Macaca fascicularis: one gene and its partner. The protein of the gene in region 2 binds, or shares a complex with, the protein of the main gene of each other region. Links are inferred from orthologs where the notes say so. Each region holds a gene or a part of one and is shown on either strand. Other genes may lie near its edges. The genes, in order: KDM6A and NCOA6.

Evidence for each region.
Region 1: NCOA6 (region 2) and KDM6A share a complex: the UniProt entries of both Homo sapiens proteins name them as parts of the MLL2/3 complex. The link is inferred for Macaca fascicularis from reciprocal best matches to the Homo sapiens genes NCOA6 and KDM6A.

Annotation. Positions count from the first base shown.
Region 1 is NC_088395.1:45,166,009-45,169,002, reverse strand, and holds the end of KDM6A (lysine-specific demethylase 6A), read right to left. Parts: intron 2,821-2,994; coding exon 2,650-2,820; intron 1,506-2,649; coding exon 1,476-1,505; 3' UTR 635-1,475; downstream 1-634. UniProt on the Homo sapiens protein: Histone demethylase that specifically demethylates 'Lys-27' of histone H3, thereby playing a central role in histone code. Demethylates trimethylated and dimethylated but not monomethylated H3 'Lys-27'.
Region 2 is NC_088384.1:90,871,043-90,875,447, forward strand, and holds the start of NCOA6 (nuclear receptor coactivator 6), read right to left. Parts: upstream 2,821-4,405; 5' UTR 2,636-2,820; intron 1-2,635. UniProt on the Homo sapiens protein: Nuclear receptor coactivator that directly binds nuclear receptors and stimulates the transcriptional activities in a hormone-dependent fashion. Coactivates expression in an agonist- and AF2-dependent manner.

The DNA of each region.
Region 1 (2,994 bases), on a different chromosome or scaffold from region 2:
GAACGCTAATATAGATTGCTATATTTTACTAGTGATGGGGAATTTGCAGCACTCCTCCCCCAAATCATGTCATGCAAGCAAAAAAGCATGAGATTTCAAAATTGCCTAACATTAAAAAATAAGTCTCTTAATTTATTTTCATTCTAAAATAGAGCCCTTCATCCTGAATCCCCTTTTCCATATAAAATGTTACTAAGTCATGTACAGGATTTGTCAAGCCCATATAACATTCCTTTTAAAATCTTAAGTTCAATCACTATTTGTTTTCTACTATTATACTACATTTTGGCAGCAATTGTTTATTGGTCTGTCATTGCAGTAATTGCAACTTAACAATAAACCAGTCTGACATTTTAGGTCTTGAGGATACATACCATATATATTTCTTTAAAAATAATCATACTTTTTGTAAGCAATACTTTACAGTAGACACCTCAAAAATCTACCATAGATGTGAAACTTAAAACGAGAAAAATTTAAGTTCTAAATATTTATACATATATATCCAGATTTCTATATATATTATATATACATACATAAGTATATATAAAATATATATAATCAGATTTCAAAAATGAACAAAAACTGGGCACTGTACATAAAGTCTTTTTAAAACTCAAACAATAGAAAACTCTTTAAACATTAAACAATTTTAATAAAAGTTTCTGTACAATGCTAAGCAGTTTTATTTACACATAGAAAATGTAATAGGAGTAGTGTTTGAAATTACAGAACTCCTTAAAATTTCAATGGCAGGTAAATCTGGAAAAAATAACAGCATTCCATTCACAAATATTTTCAAGCAATAAATATGTATTTATAAATAGTGTAAATTTACATCAAGATTAGAAACAAAAATCACAAATCTGAAGTTTATTCCTTAGTCTATGTGCAATCCATTACCTTTGTGACTTGGCTGTTAATTTTTTTAATGTTTTATTTAGGAACCAAAAGTGTAACCATTATGGTCTCAAAACAAGACAGAAAAACATAAAAGCAGTAAAAAAGTGTCTTACCTAACTTTTCACATTAAAAAAAAGTTGACCAAAGAAAGACTTAAAATTGCTAACTACCTTACAAAGAAATGACCAGCTAGGCTAGTATTTTTTTTCCAAGGAAAATTCTGAAGGGGGAAAAGACAGATGAAAACAAATTCATCAGCCCAGAAATAGAGAAATATAAAAGAGGTTGTCTTCAAGTCAGTAGTCTGTAAGATGTTGCCAGTTTTGTCAGATATATACAAAACATGGAAATTATTATTTTTTTGTGAAGTACAGCTGATGAGCTTTGTGAGAGTCCTGGAGTAGGAACAGTACTCTCTCCCGTCCAGCTGGTTGACACTCCGCACTTGGAAGGTTGCATAGACACAGTTTTCAGCCAGCAGCCTTACGAGATAGCTACAAAAACCAGTGGTGCAGAAGTGGGTTATTTCCTGAATAGCAGAAAAGGTCTCATTTAATGTCCATGGAACAATATCAAGATGAGGCGGATGGTAATGGAGGAGCCTGAAAATAAAAGTAAGGTAGGTTATTTTGATATACAAATTGTTAATAGCTCATGGCTACAAACATATAGTCTGCTTATGAAGTCAGGGGAAATAACTCTCAAAAAGTTCACCAGCCTGCTACACAACATAAAAGTACAACCTACCTTACTATCTCCCATTCAGCCAATTTTCCTAAGAGTCTAAGACCATTATCCTACTCAGCGTACTTGCAATTTTCTATATTTCTTCACCAATTAGTCAAAAACTCTTGGAATGTTATTAAGTTTACCGTTTCTTAAGATTGCTTAAAAAAAGGGGGGCTTCTTGAAAAATAATTTAACAAGTTACAATTTCACTAGTGACTGTCTTCAGAATCTATCTCAGCTAGGTAATATATTTTCTTCAACATAGTCCAGATAATTTTCTTCTTCAAGCAATCTTGAAGACTATTCAAGTGAAAATATCAGAAACTAAATTTCAAAAAGTTAGTTTCTGATCACATATGTGTGGGAGACAAGTACTGGAGAAAATCAACAATTCATAAATTATCTCTGTTTCTATTCATAAAGCTATTGATCTGCTAAAGTAAAATGCTTCCCCCAAGCATCTGCTGTCTGAAATTAAAAACTGTGTGCAATTTATAAGTATACTTGAATTTCATAAGGTTATATAACATACCAGGAAGTTAAGCTCCATTAAATATTCCCATGAGGTTAATACTTCTGGCAAGGACAAAATTTTAAACAAATACAATTAGCTCTAAAAGCAGAAGTATATTTAAAAGCACATTTACTGATTCATTTTGTGGGCTCTAATAACCTACGTACACAAACATTTTATCAACTTATCAACTGAGATAAAATGACATAAAGGATATGATAGTGTTCCATCTAAAGCACGTGAAGATTTTTAAATGTAATTGTTGTAAAATTATTTAGGCTGGTCTTACCCAGGAAGAAAACTGAAAATGATATATGCCAATTTTATAGGAATAAATACTTGGAAATGGAGGGGGGAATGATATGAATACACCCTCATGCAATATGTAATGAGCCAAAGGGAAATTTAAAATATTTCATTACCTCCTACTTATCAGGTGGCAGAACAAACACTGCTGCTTCATAACCCAGCTAACTATGTACTCACATGTTGATTTGACTTACTAATGTAAATTGGTCATAGACTTGCATCAGGTCCTCCATTTTGTACTGTTCTAGCACCACAAAGTTTTCCAGGTTTCCGCTTGTTTTTCGTGCACAATCTTGGCAATGTACTATGTAGGTCTTTCGTGAATTACTCTCATTAGTGACAAAAAGCAAATCAAAAACCTCCACCTGTTTTATACAAGAGAAAAACGTATTCAATAGAGATGGTGGTATTCACTGTACTGCTTTAGTATAATCATGGAATTCTACTTGAATGAAATTGTGGACAGTGATCTCTGGTTAAGAGTAGGTGGTAAGAAAAACATGGCTGTGTTTGAGACTCTTTAACAGACCAGGTTTATT
Region 2 (4,405 bases):
GACGAGCGGATCACGAGGTCAGGAGATCGAGACCATCCTGGCTAACACGGTGAAACACCGTCTCTACTAAAAAGTACAAAAAACTAGCCGGGCGAGGTGGCGGGCGCCTGTAGTCCCAGCTACTCCGGAGGCTGAGCCAGGAGAATGGCGTAAACCCGGGAGGCGGAGCTTGCAGTGAGCAGAGATCCGGCCACCGCACTCCAGCCTGGGTGACAGAGCGAGACTCCGTCTCAAAAAAAAAAAAAAAAAAACAAGTATATGAATATTAGATTTGTATATGTTGGAAACTATATTTCCATATAATTGGTGTTCCTTATAATTCAATGTACTTTATTTTATACAACTAAAAAATATTATTCTGAAAGGGGTCCATGGCACAGATAAGGTCAGGTCTTCCTTCATTAGAAAAACCCAGGTGGCTCACGCCTGTAATCCCAGCATTTTGGGAGGCCGAGGTGGGCAGATCACTTGAGCTAAGGAGCTCAAGACCAGCCTGAGCAACATGTTGAAATCCCATCTCCACAAATTAAAAAAAAAAAAGAAAAGAAAAACCCAGAACAAATGAATTGTGTTGCAGTATATACATATGGTATTGACAATCTTATTTTATATTTGCCCTCATAACCTTTCTGTTCATTAATTCTCTTTGATTATATGGGGCCCTGGACCTATTTTCCATGACTAGTTTGCATATTTCCTTCAGAACTCTCCCATAGCCCACGCGAACTTTGAATTTTTCTCTAACATGATCCAACTTCAATTAACAAAATAGACACTCTGGGTCTTTACAATTTTTCACTTTTCTTTTTTAGGATTTTGTGTCCCTTTGTGGTAAACACCTAGAAGAGAAGAAGTATTTCTTTTTTCTTTTTTTTTTTTTAGACAGTGTCTTACTCTGTAATCCAGGCTGGAATATCATGGAACGATCACAGCACGGCTCATTGCAGCCTTGGCCTCCCAGGCTCAAGCGATCCTTCCACCTCAGCCTCCTGAGTGGCTGGGACTAAAAGTACAAGCCACATCAGGTGGCTAATTTTTTTTATTTTTTTGTAGAGATGGGGTCTCCCAGCTCCTGGGCTCAAGCAATCCTCCCGCCTTGGCCTCCCAAAGTGCTGGGATTACAGGCATGAGCCACTATGGCTGGCCGGAGCATCTCTTAAAACTCTACAAAGTTAGAAGGTCTCAAAGACAACAACTTTGCACAATTAGAGATGAGCCAGGAAATACCAAAAAACTGGCTGCCTACCCTCTTTTGTATTCCCTTCAGCCTTTGTATTGCCAAAGTCATTAAAGGAACAAAACAAATTTAATAGTTATCTGGTATATACTGTTACGCTTCACTTCTTATTGTTTTTGTTTGTTTGCTTTTAGTTTCATCACAAGAATGTTATGGTTCATTTCTTAACACCTTTCTCCCAGCTAGCAAACTCCTTTAAGGCAATGTGTTTAGTGAGCAGGCAGCTGACCATTTCCAGTAGACCCTCTGCTACTAACTTGTAAGATCTTGAAAAGTCAACTTTACCTTTCTGTTTCAGCTAAAATCACTACCTGATTTGAAATCTTTACTTGATCTCTCAGGCCTTTGTAGTTTTTATACATTCACTCTTCTTCACCATTTTACTGGCTTCAATAACGCCTTTCGGATGACCTCTCCAGGTGACCCTGCTCTTAAGCTGTGGGCTGTCCCCTTCCAGGGAAGACACCTTGGGTCACCGCCCCCAAACAGCCGGGTCCCTCCTTTTAAAGACACACACAATTCCCTAAGTTGATAAAGGTTCTTTCCTTTCTTGCCAACCAGTTCCACTCTCTGTGCCTCTTTTGCCGGTCAGCTCCTGCACCCAAACCTCAGTCCCCTTTTGTCCCCCTTTTCTCTCATCAAACACCTCCTTTTTCCTGTTGCTTCCCCCAATAGGGGGTGGAGGATGCTTGGAACGTAAGTCTTCAGAGCCTTGGGAGTTATACAGCTTTGCAAATCAGCCCCAGTACCCCAAGGACTGCCCCAATCTGATACCAGCGTCTGTACCCAAAGGGCCCTCATTCCTCATCCATCACCTCCTTCCCTCCCCGCAAAGAACTGCTCCAGCCCTGACAGCCTAAGCTTGGCCCCCATGCCTCCACCCCAATCACCAGGTTCTACCTGCACTAGTGCCCTAAGCCCGCCTAAGGCCTAACCCAGTTCCACGTCCTGCCATCCTCTCAGCCCATGGACCCCAATCCTGGTTCCTTTCGGATCCAGTGTTCCTTCTCCACGACCCTGACCACGACCCCACTACTGGCTCCCGCCTGTTCCCCGGGCCTGGAGCGCCACCCCGTGCAGACCCCGGCCAGCCCTGCACTCCCTCAGTGCGCCGGCCCCAGCGCCCAGCACCCTCCCCACCCCGCCGGGCCGCCGCTCCCTCCAGCGCCCCCGCCCGCAGGCCTGGGGCCCGCTCCCCAACATGGCGACGGGGACATAAGCGCGGCGGGCGGGGCGGCTCCGGGCCGGGCCCGCACTCAGACCGTGCCACTCGGTCGCCCGGCGCCATTTTCCCGCGCCGGGCCCGGGCGGCGCCTCCTCCCCGCGAAGCCAGCCCGACAAGGACCGCGGACACCCGGCGGGCCCACCCCTTACGGGCCCGCGCCGCCGTCGTCTCACCTGAGCGCGGCCCCAGCCCTCCCGGGCGGGCCTTGGAGCGCCAGCCCCGGCCGTGCGTGCCCGCCGCCCTCCGTGCGTCCGTCCGTCAGTCCTCGCGTGCGCCCGTCTGTCCGGCCACCCGCGCCCGGCCGCCCGCAGCCCGACCCGGCAGGGCCTCACCGAGCCGGCGGGGAGGGGGATGGGCCGGACCGGGCCGGGGAGGGAGGGGGAGGGAGGGAAAGAGGGAGGGAGCGCCAGAGGGGGCGGGGCGGACTCGAGGGGCGGGGCATTGCCCACGTGACCAGACGTCCCCGGGAGCGCGAGGTGGAGTGCGCGCCAGCTCGCTTGGGTGCTGTGAGCTTAATGCTGGGATCTCGTGGGTTTCTGTCGGCTTCCCAGTGCTATTCTCTCGCCAGTGAGTCCCGCTGGGGAAACACACACCGAACAGCCTTTTGCGAGCGCACTGAGTATCCTTGGAAATGGCAACTCCAAACCTCAGTTTACCCATCTGAAATATGGGGAAAATCATAGTTCTTGTGAGGAGGAAATGGAGGTAGGCATGGAAGGCACTTGTCACCGTGCCTGACACATAGTGTCTAATAATAAGCTTAATGGGATATAGATAAAAGCTTTCACTATTATTTGCCTCTAAATCCCTCTCTTCTTTTTCCCATCATTACCTCCCTAGCAAGCTAAAATGCTCAGGAAATAGAATTATTGATCGAACGAGTGTGGCCCCTCCCCACTTCCCAAATGTAGAAAGGCCTCCTCAGCACTGGCCTTGACGTCTGTCATACAGGCCTGGATTCATATCTGGCTTTCACTCTTTTTTTTAAATTTTTTGGGCCGGGCGCGGTGGCTCAAGCCTGTAATCCCAGCACTTTGGGAGGCCGAGACGGGCGGATCACGAGGTCAGGAGATCGGGACCATCCTGGCTAACACGGTGAAACCCCGTCTCTACTAAAAAATACAAAAAACTAGCCGGGCGTGGTGGCGGGCGCCTGTAGTCCCAGCTACTCGGGAGGCTGTGGCAGGAGAATGGCGTAAACCCGGGAGGCGGAGCTTGCAGTGAGCTGAGATCCAGCCACTGCACTCCAGCCTGGGCGACAGAGCGAGACCACGTCTCAAAAAAAAAAAAAAATTTTTGTTTTTGTTTTCTTTTTTCCCACACTACACTGATGTATTTTTTAAATTTTTGTAAGTACGTAGTAGGTGAATATATTTATGGGGTACATGAGATTTTGATACAGGCATACATCATGTAATAATCACATCATGGTAAATGGGGTATCTAGCACCTCAAGCATTTATCCTTTGTGTTACAAACAACCCAATTACACTCTAGTTATTTTAAAATGTACAGCTAAATTGTGTGTGTGTGGTTTTTGTGTTTTTTTTTTTTTTTGAGACAGTCTCACTATGTCGCCCAGGCTGAAGTGCAGTGGCGCGATCTCGGCTCACTGTAACCTCCGCCTCCCTGTTTCAAGGGATTCTCCTGCCTCAGGCTCCTGAGTAGCTGGAACTACAGGCGCCTGCCGCCACACCCAGCTAATTTTTGTATATTTTTTAAGTAGAGATGGGGTTTCGCCATATTGGCCAGGCTGGTCTCGAACTCCTGACCTCATGATCTGCCTGCCTCAGCCCCTCAAAGTGCTGGGATTATAGGCGTGAGCCACCGCACCCGGCCAATTGTTTTGTACTATAGTCACCTTCTTGTGCTAGCAAATACTAGGTCTTATACATTCTTTGTAACTATTCTTTTGTCATTCCCGCTTCTCACCCACCTCCCCA